4 linked regions of the Drosophila melanogaster genome follow. The gene in region 4 interacts genetically with the main gene of each other region. Each region holds a gene or a part of one and is shown on either strand. Other genes may lie near its edges. The genes, in order: Klp61F, nod, tacc and sub.

Region 1 (6,729 bases), on a different chromosome or scaffold from region 4:
ACTATGGAGATCTGCTGCCCAAGGATCGACCTGTCCCCATTTGGTTATGCGTCTTTCTGGTAGTGAGCTACATCCTTGGCGGAGCTGTTCTTTTTGCGTACTGGGAGAACTGGTCCTTCTTGGATTCCGCCTACTTTTGCTTCATTACACTGACAACAATCGGTTTGTGTTTATCCCAATTCCTTGCGCACTCTTTTCATCTGCTTTTGCATTACAGGATTTGGTGACTTTGTCCCCGCGAAAGGAGTCAAGGACGAGTCGGAGCAGTCCATCGCCTATTGCTCGCTGTACCTTCTTTTCGGCATTGCCTTGTTGGCCATGAGTTTTAACCTGGTCCAGGAGGAGTTCATTGCCAATGTGAAGGAGGTAGCCCGCCGTCTGGGCATTCTTAAGGATGATGACGACGAGCAGGATGAGGATTAGTAATAGATAGATAGATAGTTATGACATCTGTTTTTTCCTAAATATGTTGGATGCTCTAATTATAAGGAACACACTTTGAAAGATGGATATTTAATATGTTTAAATGTTTTATGAAAAAAAACTTCAACAAATTTAAATTCACAAACGAGAATATGATAAGTAAAATAGTTAAGATTATATTAATTATAAAGCGCTTCCTTGGAAGGCATGACATCATTAAAAAACCAAATTCACTTCTTCCCTAAAAAATAGTATCGAAGTTTAAGAATACCTTCTGATATATCTTAAACCTGCACTTGAACTAAAGATTTCCTTAACTTTACATAGCATACTGAGTTTATTTAAATAATAAATGTACGAAATTCCAAAGATTGATATACAGATAAAATGAATATCCAGAAGAGCCAAACAAACACAGCGATCCGAAATCCACTAACATAAACGGGTTACTGGGAAGGGGAGACTACTACTGTCATCGAATGCAATCAGGCTACGTTTTCTTTGTTGTGCTAAAAATATTGAAAATAAAAGCAATGATAATATATCCCCACCCTTTATTTGTTAAGTCATTAGCGGACTTGCACTTGACTTACCCTGACGAAGGCGGGAGAACCTCGAGGTGACGTTTTACTGGGTGTCAGGGAACGTGACAACGAGCTGCTGCGTTTTCCACCAGTAGCTACGGGTGGCTTTAGGGCGTTCGAATTGGAATTGCGGGTGGTGCCGCACCCACGCTTCACGGTGACACCATCCACGGGCTCAATGGGCGTGGAGTTCATTATGGTTTCAGTTTCGGACAGCTCCTGGACGGAATGCATGGAGACGTCATGCTCACCCTCGCTGCACTACGGATTGGAAACATAAAAGTTGGTGCTTTTCAACATACAAGGTTGAAGGATTTTAGGTTACCTCATCTATAGTGGCCGTGGTGTCCAGATCTGACCAGTCCAGCTCTTGGCGATAGCGCCTCACAATTTCCTGATGTGGCGACGTGGCCACGAGGGTGCGCGGATAAACGAAATCCCTTTTGGAGGGCGTGGTCCCAGTTGGGGCGTACGTTTTCAACTCCGACTGTTGGAAGCGTACAAGCTCTTGCTCGCAAATTTGCAGCTGCTGCCGTTGGTGTTCAGCATGCTCCGAGAACTGCCGGTTCGACTCTTGGACAAGATCAGTGGCTACAGTGGCATGGCCTATGAATCGCTGTCTGTCCTCGGTGATAAGCTGCTGCCTTGCATCCACCATCTGTTCCAAGTTAACTTCGGTTTTCTCCTGCACCGCCTCAAGCTGCTGCTTGCTCTCTTGGCAAATAATTTCCACCTGATTGTGGTGCACTCGAACGGAACCAACATTCTCATTTGTTTCCTTTTCGTATTTCTGGTTGAGATTCTTCATGTGCACCTGAAGCATCGAACAGTTGGCAACGCCTTGGTCCAGACAAAGCATTCCCGCCTCCATTTGGCTGGTGAGCTCCGCTTGTGCGGATTGGGAAGCTTCTATGCCCAACTTTTGGTAGTCTTGGATACCAGACTTAATATCATCGATGCGATGATTTCTCGTCAGTCGACTCTCCTCCATCTTATTAAGATGTACGGACATGCTGATGCTATTTTTGGACCGCAAGTTCTTGATCTGTTCCATCTGCATCATCATGGACTCAAGGAGAGCATCCTCCTGCTGCGCCAGAGCTCGTTCATTCGCCAACTCCTCTTGAAGATTCTGCAGTTCCTCCGCATCTGGCAAACTCATTGCCCCGAGCTGCTCCAACTTCTTGTGCATTTGCTTCGCATGTTCTTCCACAGACTGTAAGCTGCTGTCAATTATGGTGGCGAACTTTTCCTGCATAGAGTCCAGCATGGCTTTGTGCCGCTGGTTGTTTTCCTCGATCACCTGCAGGTTAGTCTGAATTTCTTTGCTCATCAAAAGCTGTTGCTGCTGCATCTGCTCCATCAGCTTGGCGACAAATGCCTGAGAGTGCTGATCGCTGATCTTCATGACTTCTCCTATTAACTTATTATGGAGGTTGGTCTGATCCTGTAGCGATTGGGCACACATCTCCTTAAGCATTTCGATGCTTTTGCTGGAATTTAGTGCAAGGCGTTGGCTCACATAGCTCGAGTTTACTGGAGATTTATAAAATTTTACTTATGTACAATAATATACAAATTGATTTCTGTAGATAGCTTACCCATTTCCTGGCTTAGCTGCTCCTTGAGGGCTGCCTGCTGATCCTGATACAAGTTCAGGCTGCCACCGATCATTTCCAAATTATCCTGCATACGATCTTTGAACTGATCGCAAGATCGGCGAATCTTCTCATCCAACTCACGCCTTCTTTCGATGGTTCCGTGCAGCTGATGAGTATCATCAGTGGCCAGATCAGCAGCGGCTAGGATCTCCTGAGCCTGTGTGGTCAAAACCTGCTCCGTTTTCATATGCGAGGCCACCAACTCCTTTTTTTCCTTGTATCGTCGCTTGGTCTTGGTCAGCACTTTCTTGGTCAGGAGCAAAGTACCCTTCGTGTTCAGTAGGTTCTCCTCGGTCTTTTTCAGCTCCTGCGTTTTCTCCACAAGACTCATGCTCACCTCACTGAAGATCTTCTCCTTGTTCTGGAGTTCGTCCTTCAAAGCCTTGAGCAGCAGCATTTTCTCGTTAAGCTCGCGGTTCTGGGATTCTAACTTCAAAGTTATCTCCCCGTAGGTTTCCTCGGCCAAATAGATGCCATTCTTGTCCCTGGCCGCCATAAGATCTCTTTTAAGCTTGTCGATTTCTTCGGTGTATTCCTTGAGCACAGTCTTTTTGGTCAGCTTCTGATTGACTTCGGGCTTGTTTTGAATGTTCTTGGCGCGATGAGCGTACTCTAAAGTGCTCAGGGTCTCCTCGATGTCCTTGTGGCCCGGCGATATGGTGGCTATGATGGAGGTCTTGGTCCTGCCACCCAGAGATTCTTGCAGCAGTCTAGTCAGCTTTGATTCACGATATGGAACGTGAGGAGCGCGATCGACCAAAGCGGTAATTACTCTACCGAGAGTCAAGAGGCTCTGATTGATGTTTACTGTTTCCCGCACACGTATTCCCTTTTCATTCCCAGCCTTGGAAACATTTTCACTGCCCGCCAGATCCACCAGATTCAGTTTACCGATTTTCAGCATGTCCTCTCCTTCGATGCCATTCTCCCTGATGTGCACAACTATAGAAAATACAGTGTGGGAGCGTGAGGACTGTGCATTCATCAGCGTAGTGGCTGTTTTGCGACGCTCCTTTCCCTTCTCCAGCAGCTTGTACACATCATCCTTGCTGTGCACTGGTATCTCCTCCAGGCCCTGGATAATCACCGATCCCTTCTTGGTGCTGTCATCGAAAATGCGTATCTTGGTGGTGTCATCGGTGGACAGTAGATCGCACAGCTCCTCATTGTACAGTTCCAAGTAGGAAATGCGCATAGTGTACTCCACCTCCATCATGCGCAGCTCATCGAAAAGGTGACTCAGAGCGCGCGGTATGATGCCAATGTCAGAGTCCTAAGCGGGAAGACAAATTGGAAAAGGTTAGATTAGCGATTCTTAGAAAAGAAAAACTGGTTTCGATGGCCTTGAGCCAGATGGCTAAGAATGGCAAAGACCTTTTTTGTTTGGTTAAACTGCGAAAGTGAGAATGTAGGGCCCTACGCTGATATGGTTGATATGGTTTTGATTTGAATTTTTGTTCACTCACATCTTCCCAGGAGGATTTCAGTTCGGCAGTCTCGTTGCCCACCATGGTGTGGGTCTTCCCTGTGCCCGTCTGGCCATAAGCAAACACCGTGCAGTTATAGCCATTGAGGACCTCCTCGATCAGCGGAGACACCACGACGGAGTAGACATCGCACTGCTTGGACTCGGGGCCAAAACTGCGGTCAAAGGTGAACTTCTTGGTGAGCTTGGAGTCCAGCGTGTGGCGGGTGACCACTTCCCGTGGTCCGACCACATCCACGACTTCGGCCGAGCGGATGCAACGTTCCCGAGAATTAAGGGGTCTACAAAAGATATAGAAGATATATGTAGATCTTTTTAAGGGGTTTTGGTTACATATACAAACTCACCTGACGCGCACATACACCTGGATGTTTTGGTTGGACTTCTTTTGGGGCTGGCGCGACGTATTCCCACCAGATATGTCCATATTGATCAATTGAAACAATTAATTGTGGTTTTAGCGCGTACAGTCCAAAAAATGACGCCTGTCGCGTGTATCGGTATGCGTGTGTGTGTGTGTTTGATTCCTGGAAATCCTTGTGCTTCACCTTCCACCGAGCCGAATGCTGATAACTGTAACTACTATTTACAGAAGGCTGGCGTGGAAAACCAATTTTCGCACTATTTCCAATGAGAACAGAGAGAAGCAGCGTCTTCAGTTGTCCGTTCAATTTTAAAATAATGCGCAAATAGTGTGACCGCAACACGGCACCCTGAAAATACCAACATCGAAAAATACAAGTATTGGAAAACTACAGAATGTTCAAATTATTTGAATTAAATAATTTTTTATCTTTTATTTGTTCTACATTAAACCATTAAATATGTATAGTAAACTCTTATTATCAAATAATCCCGACTAGGCTATGTGGTGAAGAATGCCCTGCCTCACGAGAGACTCCACCTGAGCTCGGGGCAGATAGTGCTGGCTGTTCTTCTTCAGGTGGATCACCTCGCCGTCGTCCAGCTCGAACTTCCCATAGTCCTCCATGCAGCGCACCTCGATGTAAAGTGACTTGGGCGGACGCAGATTGTTGCCCGTCTGGCCATAAGCAAACACCGTGCAGTTATAGCCATTGAGGACCTCCTCGATCAGCGGAGACACCACGACGGAGTAGACATCGCACTGCTTGGACTCGGGGCCAAAACTGCGGTCAAAGGTGAACTTCTTGGTGAGCTTGGAGTCCAGCGTGTGGCGGGTGACCACTTCCCGTGGTCCGACCACATCCACGACTTCGGCCGAGCGGATGCAACGTTCCCGAGAATTAAGGGGTCTACAAAAGATATAGAAGATATATGTAGATCTTTTTAAGGGGTTTTGGTTACATATACAAACTCACCTGACGCGCACATACACCTGGATGTTTTGGTTGGACTTCTTTTGGGGCTGGCGCGACGTATTCCCACCAGATATGTCCATATTGATCAATTGAAACAATTAATTGTGGTTTTAGCGCGTACAGTCCAAAAAATGACGCCTGTCGCGTGTATCGGTATGCGTGTGTGTGTGTGTTTGATTCCTGGAAATCCTTGTGCTTCACCTTCCACCGAGCCGAATGCTGATAACTGTAACTACTATTTACAGAAGGCTGGCGTGGAAAACCAATTTTCGCACTATTTCCAATGAGAACAGAGAGAAGCAGCGTCTTCAGTTGTCCGTTCAATTTTAAAATAATGCGCAAATAGTGTGACCGCAACACGGCACCCTGAAAATACCAACATCGAAAAATACAAGTATTGGAAAACTACAGAATGTTCAAATTATTTGAATTAAATAATTTTTTATCTTTTATTTGTTCTACATTAAACCATTAAATATGTATAGTAAACTCTTATTATCAAATAATCCCGACTAGGCTATGTGGTGAAGAATGCCCTGCCTCACGAGAGACTCCACCTGAGCTCGGGGCAGATAGTGCTGGCTGTTCTTCTTCAGGTGGATCACCTCGCCGTCGTCCAGCTCGAACTTCCCATAGTCCTCCATGCAGCGCACCTCGATGTAAAGTGACTTGGGCGGACGCAGATTGTTGGTTAGATCAATGGGCAAGCCCTGGTTGTAGCCCGCACTGCACATGTAGGCAGCCAGGGACTTGGAGTAGTTGTTGAAGAAGGTGACCTCCGGTTCGCAGAGTGCCTGCTTGATGTCCCCGGGGATAATGGGTCCAAACTCCCACCTGAGGGCCTTGATCCTCCTGCACCGCTCGTATAGGTAGGCCAGCAGGCACCTCTTGTTCCTCTGGAGAGCTGCGTGCCTGAAGTTGAGCAGGGGCCACAGACTGCGATCCCCGGAAGCATTGTAGCTGGAGGCCTGGGCCACGTTCTCCTCGAATATCGCCTTGATCTCCTCCAGCACCTGGCGCACCCCATCGTCGTCGAAGGCGGGAATTGTCTGCGACGATCTCTCCAGTTCTTTTAGCAGGTCGAAGGCTTTCTCGCCGAACATTTTTGTTTGTCGGCTCATTGTTGATCCTCTCTGTTTTTCTTTGGTTTGGGGATCTAGTGATGGATTCGCGCCAAAATGTTCGTCGACTTGTGGTATCGATACTTGGTATTTCTTTTGGTATATTTCAAAAAA
Region 2 (7,117 bases), on a different chromosome or scaffold from region 4:
CTGGATGCCCGCAGACTGATTTTTTTTCTTTAAAAAATATATTCTATAGCTTGATATTATTTTGGTTGTTATATCATGGCTAGATTAATGAATCAACGCTCGGGAAACCCAAACAGAGTATTTTGATGTTTGAAGCGAAGGGAAATCGGATAAGATTTCCAGCCAAAAGAGAGTAGGAATGTGTATGGAATGCCGATTTCCAGCGCCATGTGTTTGGATTGGATTGGCAGCTTATCTCGTATGCTAATCGTATGATCATACATACCTATATACATATATATATCAAATATGTATGTATGTATATACCAAATCAACCAGGAGAGAGTGCTAACTAAACTGGAATCGAAGCGGCCGAAACTGATGGATTCGTAGATAGAATCCCCCTGTTGAGTGAGTGCGAAGAGTGAAGATCGACGACTTCAATAATCAATGTATATATATATGTATATTGTCTAAAAATTATATGCCAAGAATAAAAAGTGTCAAAGTGTAAAAGTCCTATTATTATTGTTATTGACCTAAAAGTTATTTTACTTTAAATCAAAAAATGCAATTAAATATTAGATTACATAGCGCTTATTTAATAGGTAGTCTAAGCTATCATCAAATAAATTATAGTCGAAAACAAAAAATAAGTAAACATCTTGAGAAATATTACACATACACATATATAACTGTTTGTTTTAGGATATCCGGCTCCTTTTTTTACTCCTACTATAGTTGTAAAATCAAAGTATATGCCACATAAATAACAATCACTATACTATATTCGAATTAAAATGCTATTTAATTAGTAATTGTATCAAGTGTCGAGACAGTTAATTTGACAAAATCGTTCCCATTTATTTCCCGACCAAATGGGCAGGGATTTGACTTGAAAAAGATTCTCGAAGCAACCCAGGCGGGATCTGAAAAATGTGGATTACGGATTAAGGGTTATTGGGTAAAACGCAAATAAAGGTATGCCAACTATGTAAGTAACTTACCTGTGCAAGGCCAAACTAAAGGCGGACTTTGGACCGATCCCTGGAATCTCCTGCAATTGCTTAACGTTTCCATTGTTAAGCAGGTCCAGAAAACATTTTGTATTATTGGCCATCCAGGCCTTGGGCGCAGGTTTCACGTTTCGCGTACGTTTTTTTTGCACTGTACTTCGAAGGTGCGGTATCGCATCCGTCTCGTTTTTCACAACAACGGAGGTGGCATGTTCCCGGATTCCCGCCAGCCGCGTGCTGCGCCGCAAATTCATAACCTTGGGAATGGCTCCATAGTTCTGCGAACGCATGCTACTCGCTAGACGCACGGAACGACGAAGGCATGGCTGCTGTGGCGAAGCCACTACTGTCTCCTCCATTGGCTGGATGCCGCTAAGTTCTCGCTGAGAGCTGGATGCCCGTAGACTGATGGGACTGATGGTGGTGTTGAACAGCTGGCAGCGTACAGTTGTGGGCACCGTGGGGGCAACCATTGACTGTTGCACCTTTGACGATTCCTTGGGCTCGGTCTCTTCGACAATGCCCATTAGCGTAGAGTTCTGGCTGCTGGCTTGCCTTGGCTCTTGCCCTGTTGGGGGAGGCATTAAATGCCTATCCTTATCGCTATCGCTATGGAAACCCAACAGACTCAGACTGCTGTCCTGAATGTGTATAGACGAGAGCTCCAGCGTGGTCTCCTCCAGCTCCAATAGCTCGCGAGCCCTATGGAGGAAGATATGGGAGGATTAGATCATCTTCGCTTTTGGTCCATTCCGTGTTACTCACCTTTTCTTAGCTTTGGGCGTCATGCCAAGTTCGGAGCGAGTTCGATGGAGCACGGCGCTCAGCGGCTTGGTTGTGCTATATTTGGATTTTGGAACCACTATGCTATTATGATTGGCTGCGTTTGACTTGATGGCCGTCGAGGTGCATAGCGCTTGGCGGAAGACGTGTGTTGTCCGTGCGGCCAGCGATTGCTGCAATCAGAGCAAGATGGGTGGATGAAACTCGAGTAACTGCATCGTTCGATTTGCGGTCAGTGCGGTTGGAATGAGTTCGGTTCGGTACGGCTTGGTTTCTCTATATAAACGATCCACACTCGCGGCGGTGGCGTAGTGTGCCATGGAACAGCCCAGTGAGAAGACGCAGGAGGGGGAGCAGAAAGATCGCCAAAGTCAGGAAGTGATAGAAGTGGCATCCGATCAAGGAAATTCACCAGACTCAACAGAAAGTTATCCAGATGTCGATCAGAAGTCACCTAAACGAATTGATGTTGAGGAACCAAAGGAGGAGAACTCAAATAACAGCGAAGCAGTGCAGGATTTAGAAGATAATCGTGTGAAAAAGGAGGAATTGGTGGCAGAGTTGGAGGAACCGAGAGGTGCTGAGGTGGAGCACATTGAAAAACAACTAGCCAAAGAGATTGATTCGAAAGTGATCGACAAACAAGAGCTCAAAGGCATAGAGGAGCTTGATAAAAAAATTCCCCAGTTGAATCAAACATTTGGAGATCAGTTGTTGGAAGGAGATGATGAGCCTGAGGCGAAATCAAAGGATGAGCTGGCAGAGAATGCGGACAGGGAAAAACTAGCAGAAATCTCTGCGAGTGAGATTCAGCTCACTGGCAACCTAGCAGCTCCAGCAGAGCAAGTTGATCAGAAGGAAGCCGAACCAGATCCACATGAAGACACCGAAGATGAACGAAATGGGGAGGTGAATAGAGAGCACCCAGACAGGATGGAGAGTCCTGTAGAGCAACAAGAGGACACAGCCAAGCCAGACGAAGATCTGCCCAACGAGCAGGTTACACAGTTCCTTCGCCAACTGGTCAGCCAGCTGTGGCCAGAGCTGGGCGCCAATCCGGAACTGCGTCTGGAAAGGGCGAGTGCCAAGGGCGACAACTATTTGGGCGTGGTGTGGCGCCTACAGGCGGCATCCGATTCGAAACGCAGCCTGGTGGTTAAACTGCCGCCACAGAATCGCGTGCGCCGCAAGCAATTCTTTGCACGACCATGTTTCCTGCGCGAGACGGCAGCATATGAGGTCTTTCTGCCGCTGACTGCGTTAATTCAGGATAAGTGGAAGATAATCGGAGATGATCGTTTCCGGCAGCACGCGCTCTGTTTCGGAACTCGCCAGGATGAGCCCAACGAGTGCATCGTGCTGGAGGATCTGTCTTGTGCCGGCTTCTCACTGCACAATCGCTTTCTCGACCTATCCGTCGAGCATGTGCGTCGCGTAATGCTCACCTATGCCAAATTACATGCTATATCATTGGCCGGGAAACGGCAGTTGCCCGAGAAAATGCAACAACTGCAGCAGCTGGTGGATATCTTTGAGCAGCGACGCGATGATCATGCCTTGGGGGTCTACTTCGAGAATCTGAAGGAAAGCGCCCTATCCGCACTGCTCGCACCGGCGGATGATGCATACAGAGTTCGTCTGGAGGCGTACTTCGCCAGAGGATCGTACTTTGAGCTGCTGCTGCCTTTGGTCAGCGGATTCAATTGCGAACCCTTCGCTGTTATTTGCCACGGCGATTGCTGGAATAACAACATTCTCTACAAGAGTACAGAGCGGGGCGAGCTCGAGGACGTGCGCCTGATCGACTGGCAACTGATGCGATATGCCTCGCCGGTCACCGATCTAGCTTACTTCCTCTTCACTTGCACTTCGCGGCGATTCCGGCAGCGACACCTCGAAAATATGCTCGAGGATTACTATGAAGAGTTGGGCCTGCAGCTGATTAGGTAAGTAAAAGTATAAGAATCCTAGAGCTTCAACTATTGTATTGTTGTGTTCGCAACAGACTAGGCGAGCGGGTGGAGCAACTTTTTCCCCGTCCTGCATTCGATGAACAGGTGGCTACCAAAGCGGCTGTGGGCCTGCTTCTCGCCATGATGGTTCTACCCATTGTAACGATGCAGGGTCAGGATGTGCCCGACCTTCAGGCAATTAGCGAGCGCATCGAGGCGGGGGCCACTACGGATCTCCATGGAGCTGGTTTCCTGGGCGCGGGCAACGAGGCTACATTTAAACAGCGTATACGCGAGGTGATCCTCGACTGTGTGGACTTTAATTACATATAGATGGCTCACCTTCTGGCGCGCCACTTGCATCGGATTCAGCCGAAGCTTCTTGGCACTGGTGCCAAAACGCAGGGTGGACAACGTCTCGCTGAGATCGCATTGATGCGGACTGATGCAGGCCAGAAAGGTCAGATACGACTGCGCGGTTAGCGAGGCTGCAAAGAATGAAAACGGCAAGAAGTTGCAGTCAATATTTATAGTAGTCACTAAGTCGCTAATCAATAAAGGCTTGAACCCAAATGGTCCACTAACTAATTGAGCATGAGACGATCCAAAACGTAGCACTTACCCTGCAGAACTGTGGTAAGGACGCTGTCGCGGTATGGTATCACTGTGTGGCCCGCCGCCATGGACATCACCACCTTGTTGATGCTCAACAGGCCCAGATTGATGTTGACGCCCTCCTGCCTGGCCACGCCCTCGTGCCCAGTTCGCCGCACGCCTTCTGAACCGGCCAGATCCACAATATTCATCCGCGAGTGATGGGTTTTACTCTTCACGTGAATGGTGACTATGGCATGGGATCGCGAACTATTGGAATTCATATTGGTGGGACGAACGCGTCGATTGCGAGTGCCTAGCTCCAAGATGTGATGCAGATCCGCCTGGCTGTGCAAAGGAAGGCAGGTGCATCGCTGGCAACGCGCCGCCACCATGGGCATATGTGGCGTGGAGCCCAGCAGATCGAAGGGTTTCTCATTGTAGATCTCTATGAAGGAGGCGTACACCTGAATCGCATCCTTGTTGTTCTCCTGCCGGGCGGTCACGCGCTCAAAAATGTCGCCCAGGGCGCGAGGCAGAATACCCAGGTGCTCGGGCAGTATCTGTAAAGGAATAGAAGCGATAGATCAGTGGGAAAGATTTAAGCCACTGATGGCTAAACGAAAAACCCACCTCTCCCGGAGGTGTCATGCCCATTGAGTAGCTCTTGCCCGTTCCCGTCTGGCCGTAGGCGAGTGCAGTGCACTGGAATCCCTCGAGCAGCTTGTCCACCAGCGGCAAGATCAGCGCCTGGTACATCTCATCCTGGCTGATGGTCGCGGGAAAGGCGTGATCGAAGTGGAATTCATTCTGATCCACTATTAACGACTACAAAGCGAGATGGCGGTCATATACCGTTAGACATGCACATGGCCAATGGTGGGGCACATACCTTTCCGTCGCTCCATGGCGGAAACTGGACGACGCTGGGCTCCCGACGCCCCAAGAACTGGCGGTACGGCGCCTCGCGGACCGCAATCCGAACTGCGCTTAATTTGGCGCCCTCCATGCAGATTGAAGAATTGAAGTTGTTTGAATAATGCACAATTGGCTTGCATTCACCGTAATTATTTTACTTTTTTGACGAAGCCAAGCGACCTTTGCATTTCAAATTGATTTTGGCAGTGTGACCGTCGCGGTAATAACACTAAGAACGATCTGGGTTGGTGTCATGGATATTTACATTGTGGCTTGTGACCTCGCTTTTGGTATGTGTATGTTGTAGGGGCCATCTCTAATTTAACTTAATCTTGCTAAAATACTGCACACAACTTAACATGTTTTGCAAACATATCGTGCACAATGGCATCGCTATTGTTCATGAGCATAACATTACAGAACTCTGTTAATGCGCCACCCTTGCCAGCCCTGGCCTGCGCTGCCACCCTATATGATTATAGACACACATAGCAAGTGCGGAGGATCGGTATTGCCAACTTATTAAAACAGGAACAAGAACTAACAAATTTGATGGAAAAAAAGCCGCTTAAAACAGTATTTGCAATAGCAGATAAGTCTTTATTTGTCATATGTAATTTAAGTGTCAGTTCTGGTCACCCTGGAAACCAAGGTGGCAGCCCTAAAAGCATCTCGAATTTCCGTTACTTTTAGCGCCAACAAAATGGCGGAAATGTATTTGCAGTTAATTAGTATTGCCATCTCTCTCTAAGCCAGCACCGTTCGCCTTCTCTTTCTTTTCAAGACTCGTATACGAGAGAGATCGCCTCTCTATTGTCATCTCGCTCTAAATCGATCTGTATTATTTGGCAATTGTTAAGTTTCGTATAACATTTCACTAGTTATATGAAATTTACCAATTTATTTTGTATTTTGACTGGTTAAGGCGCGTAAAACGTTACCCATATATGCATATATATTTGCTTAATTTGCAACATTTTACACGTCTTTTAAGACTTCAGTTTGCATTGCGACTTGTACAATGTTGCGTTCCAAGACACATTTTTTTGTCTTGTATTGTATTGTATTGCATATTGTATATTGTATATTGTATATCATTCATTTTGTTTTGTAGCTTGACAAGCGCGTCAACCATGAAAACAATTCGTTTGTGATTTCCAAATAGTCGTACTCATCTCACTGTCCGTAAGACAATTCAACTTAAACATTTTCGACTATGCGGAAATCGTTACTCTTGCTTGATTTTGCTTCGGAGAACGTTTCGAACGATTATCAATGTGATTCGAAACGATCTCTAAAGCTATATGTAACACCAATTTACCCTTTCGATGGCCATCCGAGCTACCTAAACGAAAGAGAAGAGGATGGAATTAGGATTGTCATAGGCGCAACGTGTCGGAAAATCTAATTCAATGGATGCTACACTGGTTGGATTTGGATTTATGTTTTATTTTTTTGGAGAGGATCTCGGAAGTAACGTACTCACTTGCAGCTAGTTGGAGACTGAATGGAAAAGCGAGGGAAAATTGAGCGGGTGTTATTAATAGGTCACCACCATTTTGCTGCCAGAATTCGAGTTCAAGTGTGTATACGTTGCACTGCGCGGAGTACTCACCAGCTCGATGGGAACTGTACCAAGTGGATGGATTCTAAACACCCCGAACTTCTTTTTTGTGTTAAATTTATGCGAGTGCAAGGCAATCGGAGAAAAACAAGAGCAAAATGCCAATTGAATGAGTAATCAGTGTGTATGTATACCAGAAAATAATGAACTCAACTGCAAACGTGTCTTTTCAGTGTCTTTTGGATCAAAGGAAGTGAAGTTTTCAATTTAGAAATAATAGCAACCAAACTAATACCTCTAACTAAAGCTCT
Region 3 (4,700 bases), on a different chromosome or scaffold from region 4:
GCCAACAAAAATGCTCATTATAAAGGATCTACAGATGGTTTCCACCCCTTTCCACATTTGCCTATTTTTAGATCAGTTTATAGTTGGCTCTTCCTCAATATTTGTTTTCTTTTATTTTCCTGAGTTCTATTGGATATTCGAATTGCAGCTTAAGGTTCAAATTCCACTTGTATTCTATTCTATTGTATTTATTGTGTTTTCTGAAATCAGTATACTCATTTGTGGCCACTATTTGGATTCCACTCAAGGCTTATATGCTTCAACAAACTACATTGGTTTTAAATTCACCCTGAGCCGGGAACCGTGTGATATCTTGTCACCTGTCGCGCGCTGCTTGGATAACGCTAGAGCCAACATCTAACTATTCCCCCCTCGTCAAGGCCCATCGTGTGGGATTCCGTTTCATTGCTTACATTTTCTCGCCAAACATGCAAAGTCAGCCGTTGGGCAATGTGGAGCTTGCAGATAGTGCGCCATGATGCGCAACAATGGCTGTGGGATTGCATGTCATCTGGGACCCACCAGGCCTCTACACTTGAAACAATGTGATGAGCCAAATCAACATATTTATTATTTTAGAGCACTCTACTTGCCTCTACTGGTATATCTTTAAGAGAAAGCATTTTGCAAATAAGACTGTTCTCCAAAAATCCTATGGAAAATGTGCAAAATAATTCTGTCATCAAAGCGTTGAATTTGCACCAAGTTCCTCCAGTTGATTTGCGAAGACAATATAAGCAGTCGGCGGTCGCCGTATTCTCGTATCCCATTTATTTATCCCCTTCTTTAAGTGTTTCGACTTATTTGCGGTGTCTTGCACTTTCACTGCTGCCTTTCAGTCTGAATTTCGTCTGAGGCCTGTATAGTTTTTCAGTTTTTCACTGCAGTTCAGTCAAAAAGGTTGTCAACTTGAGCCCGCTCTTTTGACATTATTATTTTATAAATGTTGCCCACGACCTCGACCGTTTCCAAAATGTATTTCATATATCTAAGAGAAGTGTGTTTAAATGGATCAAGTGTGTGTTGCCCTCTAGCTTCATAAAACCCAATATATTTTCTCGAAATAGAAAAGGGTAACTATTCCAACCATAGAAAGGATAAGATTTCATCTTCAGAATCACCAGCCAAGTCTATCTGGCCACTAAGACTTATATTATTTATATGCTAATAAAATCTTTGAAGGGTATATTTCTCGTAGCTCCAAAAGCTGAGTAATGGGTAGTCGAGAAAAACGACTGAGTTCTCTGTTGTTTTGATTTAATTTTCATTAGGAATATTTGTGCTTAAAAGTTCAGAGTATAACTTATCGGAACTATTTCAAGACTAAGGATGTGCTAAATAAATGTTTTAAGTTGGTATGAAATCCATAATGTGTAATATACAAAGGTGTCTCTAGCCGCCGTCTCACATGTGAAAACATATGGCAGTATTATAAATGGAAGAGAGGACCGTGCTGATAAGGGGAGAACGCCATGTGGGCTAAAACGATCCAAACATGAAGACATACGAAAACATCCGGATCGTTATGTGGATGCCATTCAAACTATTCGTTCTCTCACTCGGTCTGTCGATCCCCCGCACTCTCGCCGTGCTCTAAGTATTTGTGCATGTGTGACGCTGAGCAGAGCAAAGCAAATTGAAAACGAAAATATTTTTAAATTGATTTTAAAGGCAGACATGATCGGGAGGCAGTGAGAACCGCACGCGACAACGGGCCGTGAGAAACCCGGAGGTATTACCCAATATAATGGAAGCGGAAAATCACAGTAAAGATTTTACCGAGTAGGCGAGCCCAAATCTGTGTCACAACAAAAACCACAAAAAAAAAAAAAAAAAAAAAACACTAAAGACCAAACTAAGGAACTCTATAGATCCATTATTTTTTGGAGCCAAGTGAACCGTATCGCGTCTCAGGAGTTAATCGTGCGTAGAGCGGCATGGATTTCCTCGCGAATATCATCAAAAGACCCAAAAGCATCGCCACCACTGGCATCAGCACCAATCAGCCAACGACAATGGAAGCCCTAGAAGCTGCTAGTCCCGCTGATGAATGTTCTACACCAAGGGATAAGGGAGGAGTTACACTTGTATCCGCGCACCTGGACTCGTTACTAGAGTCCGCCTCTGAGGAGCTGCAACGACTGGAGGGAAAGCACTGTGAACTATTTATGGAATCCATCTCGAACCCACTCCCAGCCCCCGAGGACAGCACTGATAGTAGAGAAGAAATACAGAAATTTCTAAGCGAAATAAACTTCAATCTGAACCAAGTGAGTGCTAACGAAATGGAGCACTTGCAAGCCATGAGTGGCGAGGTATGTCTGAAAGAATTAGGACTATCTTTTTATGTGCATCCCTGGGGGGGGGGGGGGGGGTGTTCTAGTATTAGGCAAACTGCATAAATCTACACATTGGAATTTTTTTGTAATGTCCCAATGTGTTTTGCCGATTGCATATATAGTATTTATGCGGTTCCACTTGGTTTTGTCACCTTATTGCGTTGCAGAAAATATTATTTTAAATAGGGTTGTATCTAGCCATTAGCTTGGGCTAATATTCCGCAGGAATCTGCTTCCCATTACCACTCAAATTTGAGCCCATTGTCAAAAAATTAAAATTAAAATACTTATCAATAAAATCGAAACGGAGAAATTGGTCTAATGCCAGAATTTTCCTAATTTTTAGTGTCTCGCTCATAAGCCGGTCACCACTCGCCTTATTCTTCTGACTTTAACCTTGCAGCACCCATTATACTGCAATGCGCTCTAATTAAATTCCGCGTGTAGAACGATGCTCCCAAACCTAAATAGACATTAAACATGGCGGCCGGCCGCATTGAATCCGCGGCATGTTTATTTCGCACTGCACAAAAGCTGACGTCGACCCAGTTCCACGTCCATCTCCCCACCTTTTGCTCCTCAATCCGTTTCGTTGCCACCCTCCCAAACATATGCCATATACCCGATTTTTACGTCTTGGCTGGCTTTTTAATTAATGACATTTGCTTTTGTTGACTGACCGACTGCGACAAACATTTGAAATGTATGTCTTTTTTAAGCGTGAATTGAAGGCATCTGTATCATATGGGCTACATTAGATGAGATTGAAGTTTTTCAAATGAAGATCATAATTTCATAATAATGTATTCTTTTGTATATGATAATAACTAAAAATGGGGGTCCTATGCCTTTGTATAATTTCTTGGCAATGGGAAAATACGGGAAAAGTCATCCCAAATGCGATTTATTTATGCCAACTGTGGTGGGGCTCTTGCCTTTTTGTGTGTCAAAAATTCTTAATTAAATGACCAACCAGCTGCTACTCGTGATCATCTTTAAAACCCCATTCCCAACATCGGTTGTTCACGGTTTAAAACTATTCGGATCATGACCGCGATGTACATCTTGATAACTATATTCTTAAATTTTGCATCTCTTGTTTGGCAGCTGAGTCCGTTGGCGGTGAAGCCCAGTCCCAAGCCAACGAGCATGGATCAACAGAAGGCAATGGCGGCAGCTCTGGGGCATCAGACGGCGGTACCCGGTGGACTTAAGCCAGAAGACGACCTCGTTCCAAAGTTTGGAGGTCTTCCCGAGTTCGATGAGACGCAAATACCGGAACTAGCTCCTTTAAGTACCGATATGGATAGTGAGTAAATCTTGTTTGTGTAACCCAGAAATCTCTTAAGGTAGAAAAATTATATTGATGTACAAAAGAATTCCATACGAAATCCGCCAGAAGAGCGAAGTAATTTCTTCTATTTCAATACCGTCATTTATACAAAGGAAAGGGCCAGCTGGGGAAAATAAATCATTTCCAAGTTTATGTATAAATTTCTCGTTGTATTAATTATATAAATAAATTTCTTATATGTATTTAATTATTATTAAAACGAATTGATTAATATATCGCATTCATTCCTCCCTTAGCTCAACTGAAATCCAACCATTCGGATTCGGATGTTTTTGTCGAGTGTTTATCGCTTCATAGCGAGCGCTACACCGGAGATCGATCGGAGTTAGAGGCATATTCAAGTGCCCTTAATGATGTTTTGGAGCAGCAGCTGTCCATGACCTCAGTTTCTACACTGGGAGCTGAATTCAACGATCCTTTGGCAGTTAGCCAGCACAACAACGTCAGCTATGAAGCCATGGATGTGGATGACCTAAACGAAACCATGGAAATGTTAAAGGACGTCTTGAATGCGGAAGACCGTCATCTTATGCAAACGCATATTCTCAGCGTAACCCAGTCAAAACCAGAGAATAATTTTGTGCACTATCATCCAAATCAGGAGCAAAATAGGGTTGAACTAGACCAGTTAGCCAAACACTCTAAACCCAATAGTGATGCAAAGGAATCAGAATCATTGGTAGAATCAGTACTGTCTGAGGAGTCTGGTACACAATCCTTTGAGCCGAAGCTCACCTTATCTGCCTTGGACTCTACGAAAGACTTAGCTAAGCATCAAGAGGAAATGCAAACAAATACAAAAGATATATTTCAGAAAGAGAAGCACCACCCGGTCAGTAGTGCTCAGGTGAAGGACGCACAAAATCCTAAGGAGCCTGAAAAGGCCTTAAATCTCAAAGAGGCTTCTTCAGAACTGTCCACAAAATCAGCAAAATCTCTAGAATACCCTAATCAAGAGAAGCAATTTTCGGTGGCAGTAGAATCAATGGAGAGACCATGCACTGCCA
Region 4 (4,629 bases):
CATCATAGCTGCTGGTGACAAAAATATTGCCATCGCGGTGGAAGTCCACCGATGTTATGGGATCCTGGTGGGCGTGGACGATTTTGAGCGTTTTGCCAGTGCGGACATCCCAAAGGCGCACTGTTTCGTCAAAGCTAGTGGAGGCCAGCAGATTGGCCTGCGGATTAAAGCAGCAGGAGAAACTGTACCTGGAATGCCCCTCCAAAACTTTGACGCAGAGCTTGCTGCGGGCATCCCAGAGACGCACGGTCATGTCATCGCTACAACTGGCAATTAATCCAGCCGCCGACCAGGCGACATCGTTGACTCCGTCTCCGTGCCCGGCCAGCGATTGAATGCATCGGGTTGCGCTCAAGTCCCAGAGCTTAAGCAGCCTATCGCCGGAGCTGCTGACCAAGTTCTCGCCATTCGAACTAAACTTTAGACCAGTAACGCAACCACTGTGACCGAGGAGCGAGTGCTTAATGGCGTAGCCCGGAGACATGGAGTTCTCCAAATGGAACTGACTTGGTAGCATAGGCATCTTAAAGGAATCGAAAGCGGCCTCCGGGATGGCGATTTCAGTTTCGGAATCTCCAGGAGTCGAAGCTGTTTCAATCAATTCCATAATTTTATTTTTTTCGCCCAATTTTAATTTCTTACGAATCCTGCGAAAAGTTCGAAAACTTGGCGATGATGGTGACAGTTCCTGAGTTGACAAAAGCTTGCTGATATTTTGTAAAAAGGGTTTTCATTTCATCATTTACCCGATTATTTTTGGCGCCCAGTTTTAAGTTTTTATTATTTTTTTAAATTAATTACCTACAAATGTTGAGTCTGTTTTTAATTATCGCGAGAAAAAGTACACACGTACTGATAATTCATTAAACACTTTTTTACAATATTTGTCTAGTACATACAATTGTTAATTGTTTCTACAACTACTTATAACTCATTTAGTCAATATTTGTTTGAATTCCCAGACAGGGGGCGTAAAAAATCAGACTGGAAAAAGTAAACAAGCCCAATTAATTTGCGTTTTAAGGGAGTACTTATTTGGCGACAGGGTGCTCTATTTGCGCAGCCTGTTATTGTTATGCTGTCCAGACTTGTTAACCAAACATTAAACAAATGGCCGGTGCTGTGCCGTGCCGGCAATTTGTCACCTAATTATTTGTCGACGCTGCTAATCTTACATATGGGCAAAATTGGAGAATGCGCGATAATCAAGTCAGTGAACTTAATATTTGCATGGTAATTTAACAGACTTAAAGTGAATTTTTAACTTAAATTTTAGTAACATTTGGATTTTAACTGCACATATATGCCTTTATTATTTTATAAAGTTTGAATCAATGAATTTTTATACTAAAAATGTGTGCTAGTACTAGAATGAATTGAAATTATTTATAATAACTGGAACGTGTTGCTATCGATTTTTTTTTGTCAAAATTTATCTTTTTTATTAAAAATTGAATTTCTACATTAAATGTTATTGATGGTATTTTGTAACGGCTAATTCAAATGATCAACGGTCACACTAGCCAGTGGAGCTGCCAGCTATCATTTGAAATTCAAGTAAAGTTGGCAGCCCCCTGGCGTCTGAAAAATAGCGCGAAGTGAAGTAAACTAAAAAGTATCCCTTCAACCCACATAAACAGCGCAAAATGGACAGCAAGGAGGTTTCGGAGGTGCCAAGGCGGGAGGTGCGCTCCTTCCTGATGGCCCGGGATCCCTCCATCGACCGCCGCTTTCGACCGCGACCCAACAAAAAGATGCGTCTGTTTGACAACATTCAGGAGTCGGAGGAAGAAAGTTTTTCCGAATACTCGGACACGGAATCGGAGTACAAGTACCAGTCGAGCGAGGCAACCGAAGGGGCCTCATGCGCTACCAGTGCGGCAGACAGCAGCAACGTGGAAACGGGGCCACAGGTCTTCCTGCGCTTGCGTCCCGTTAAGGATGCATCCAAAGCCTACATAGTCTCGGAAGAAGCAAATGTGCTGATCACTAGCTGCAAAGTGGACTCGACCAGCAACAATGTGAACCGCATGGAAAAACACTTTGGATTCACTTCCATCTTTGACAGCACCGTTGGCCAGCGAGACATCTATGATACCTGTGTGGGTCCCAAAATTATGGAGGAGGAATGTGTGACCATTATGACATATGGCACATCGGGGTCTGGAAAAACGTATACCTTACTGGGTAAGCGAAGAGGACTTGCAACAAGTTTGCTGGGCAATTGTTAATTTAAATCCATTTTTAGGCGATGATGTGCGTGCTGGAATCATTCCGCGTGCCCTGGAAAACATATTCACCATTTACCAGGACACCGTCTTCCGATCGCCCAAGCTGAAGCTAATCAATGGCAGCATCGTGTTCTTGCAGGACGACGCCTCGCTGAAAGAGCTGCAGATTCGGAAAAAACTTTTAGACTTATGTCCGGATATCAGTGCCCACCATCAGCGTCTGAAGCAGGTCATTGATGGCGACCACATGTTCGAAACGAAGGCTTCCACCGATGTTTCCGTCTTGGTTTGGGTGTCCTTCGTGGAGATCTACAATGAACTTGTGTACGACCTGCTAGCCATTCCGCCGAAACAGGACAAACTGGGGGAGGTGCCACGAAAAAACCTGAAGATCGTGGGCAACAAAGGCCATGTGTTCATCAAGGGTCTGACCAGTGTTTTCGTGACGAGCAGCGAGGAGGCGCTGCGTCTGCTCCGGCTGGGCCAGCAGCGCTCCACGTACGCCTCCACCTCGGTGAACGCCAACTCTAGTCGGTCGCACTGTGTCTTTACCGTGGACATACTAAAGTACAATCGGTCGGGCATCACCACACAGAGTTCGTACAAATTCTGCGACCTGGCGGGTTCGGAACGCGTCAACAACACGGGTACCTCCGGCCTTCGTCTCAAGGAAGCAAAGAACATAAATACGTCGCTGATGGTGCTGGGTCGATGTTTAGATGCGGCCAGTACAGTTCAGAAAAAGAAAAACGCCGACATCATTCCATATCGCGACTCCAAGCTAACAATGCTGTTGCAGGCTGCTTTGCTGGGCAAGGAGAAATTGGCCATGATCGTGACAGTTACCCCTCTGGATAAATACTACGAGGAGAACCTGAACGTCTTGAACTTTGCTTCCATCGCCAAGAACATCATCTTCAAGGAGCCCGTAATTAAACAGCATCGCGTCAGCTACTGTGGTTTCATGGAATTCTCAAAGATGTCGACGTGCGAGGGCGGCGACTACACCAAGGAACTTGAGGACGAAAACGTGCGCCTGCAGTTAGAGATTGAGCAACTGAAGTACGATCATGTGCTGCAAATGCAGCTGCTTGAGGAGAAACTGCGAAGGGAACTGACTGCCACCTACCAGGAGATTATCCAAAACAACAAGAAGCAATATGAAGACGAATGCGAGAAAAAATTACTAATTGCGCAAAGAGAATCAGAATTTATGGTTAGTAAATATAACAATATAATATAATAGTATATAATATAAACTATATATTTAACAGCTTTCCTCTCAACGCCGAAGGTATGAAGAACAAATAGAAGACCTCAAAGATGAGATAGAGGAACTTAAGAATCCTGCAAGCGACACGGACATTTCTGATGATCCAAACGAATCTAAGTCTCCCATCGAAATCCTCGATGATGATTAGTTTCTTTAATTCACAATTTTTAATTTGTTAAGTGTTAGTGATTTTAAAATTTAAATTTGAAACTTGATATGTTGCAGAGTTGGCCACGTTTTCCAATAAACATGTGAATGATCAATAAACTAGTGACACAAATAATGATGTGATTCTGTGCCAAGAAACTTCGAGCAAGAATACCAGAATCGCAATTACCATAAATGTTCCGTACGCCTGCCACATCCACTGAAAATCCACAATCCTTAGCGAGGTAGGGTGCTCTCTTTCCTTCAACTGCAGGCTGGGATCCTCCAGACCGGACAATCCAGCTGCTGTCATGTCGTAGTAGTGCATTCCCACCCAGAAGTCATAGAGTCCATTGGCATTTACCTCCAAAATAAGTTGGCTGACGGGCTCTGTGAACAAGGAATTCTGCGGCCATTGGAAAGAGAGCAGCGCCAGGGACCACAGGCAGTCATCCGTGGAGTAGATAAACAGCTCTCGGGTGAAGCGCTTCTGCTGCTCACTGAACAAATTCCAATACAGTCGGGAGGCGAAGTAGGCATTGCTTGTGTTCCTTCCATTCCTCAAGTGATTGTACTCACTCACATTGACCACCAGCATGGGCACACGCAGTTTCATCCATGTGGGAAAGTCTTCCTCGGTCGTAACCAATGGTATTTTCGTGCGACGCAGACCAGCGAAACTTCGTGCTTGAAATTGCCGTGGTGGATGAGCCATTAATGTGTCCAGTCCCGCTCCAAAAATGCTGCTCACATTAAGACCCACTATTCCAAGCATCAGAAATATCAACCTGGTGGAGAAGCTTCTCGACAAGGGCAAATTGAAGGATTGGCCCAAGATTCCGCGTAAAGCTTTATCATTTAGCACAAAGTCCACCAGACGCACATCGCGATGGGTCATGTTTCGAAGGAGATTCAAAGCCAATCCATAACTGGAAACAATAACAATAGCCAGGAACATATTGGAAGCACTGCTCAGGA

What was found.
Region 1: of sub (region 4) and Klp61F, changing one enhances a phenotype caused by changing the other (phenotypic enhancement), as found in Drosophila melanogaster (one study listed by BioGRID).
Region 2: of sub (region 4) and nod, changing one enhances a phenotype caused by changing the other (phenotypic enhancement), as found in Drosophila melanogaster (one study listed by BioGRID).
Region 3: of sub (region 4) and tacc, changing one enhances a phenotype caused by changing the other (phenotypic enhancement), as found in Drosophila melanogaster (one study listed by BioGRID).

What each region holds. Positions count from the first base shown.
Region 1 is NT_037436.4:1,241,060-1,247,788, forward strand, and holds Klp61F (Kinesin-like protein at 61F), read right to left. Parts: upstream 4,852-6,729; 5' UTR 4,582-4,851; coding exon 4,502-4,581; intron 4,436-4,501; coding exon 4,135-4,435; intron 3,942-4,134; coding exon 2,609-3,941; intron 2,544-2,608; coding exon 1,333-2,543; intron 1,269-1,332; coding exon 1,017-1,268; intron 967-1,016; exon of another isoform or gene 933-966; coding exon 909-932; 3' UTR 509-908; downstream 1-508. Other genes in the region: galene, read left to right, coding at 1-162, 218-423; CG32318 (uncharacterized protein), read right to left, coding at 5,014-5,428, 5,495-5,574; Psf1 (partner of Sld five 1), read right to left, coding at 6,007-6,615. UniProt on the Drosophila melanogaster protein: Important role in mitotic dividing cells. Microtubule motor required for spindle body separation.
Region 2 is NC_004354.4:11,579,140-11,586,256, reverse strand, and holds nod (no distributive disjunction), read right to left. Parts: upstream 5,486-7,117; 5' UTR 5,334-5,485; coding exon 5,217-5,333; intron 5,153-5,216; coding exon 4,958-5,152; intron 4,888-4,957; coding exon 4,353-4,887; intron 4,301-4,352; exon of another isoform or gene 4,219-4,300; coding exon 4,073-4,218; exon of another isoform or gene 4,064-4,072; coding exon of another isoform or gene 3,784-4,063; intron 3,725-3,783; coding exon of another isoform or gene 2,097-3,724; exon of another isoform or gene 2,082-2,096; intron 1,952-2,081; coding exon 1,761-1,951; intron 1,698-1,760; coding exon 987-1,697; intron 909-986; coding exon 803-908; 3' UTR 507-802; downstream 1-506. Other genes in the region: pkm (pinkman), read left to right, coding at 2,097-3,724, 3,784-4,063. UniProt on the Drosophila melanogaster protein: Required for the distributive chromosome segregation of non-exchange chromosomes during meiosis. May be a microtubule motor required to hold distributively 'paired' chromosomes at the metaphase plate until anaphase.
Region 3 is NT_033777.3:4,743,412-4,748,111, reverse strand, and holds the start of tacc (transforming acidic coiled-coil protein), read left to right. Parts: upstream 1-1,697; 5' UTR 1,698-1,937; coding exon 1,938-2,315; intron 2,316-3,446; coding exon 3,447-3,648; intron 3,649-3,929; coding exon 3,930-4,700.
Region 4 is NT_033778.4:17,744,996-17,749,624, reverse strand, and holds sub (subito), read left to right. Parts: upstream 1-1,546; 5' UTR 1,547-1,646; coding exon 1,647-2,187; intron 2,188-2,248; coding exon 2,249-3,447; intron 3,448-3,505; coding exon 3,506-3,652; 3' UTR 3,653-3,763; downstream 3,764-4,629. Other genes in the region: CG10931 (uncharacterized protein), read right to left, coding at 1-607; Ir54a (ionotropic receptor 54a), read right to left, coding at 3,764-4,629. UniProt on the Drosophila melanogaster protein: Required during female meiosis for bipolar spindle formation in the absence of the centrosomes and chromosome homolog segregation. Also has roles in male meiosis and mitotic divisions of the early embryo.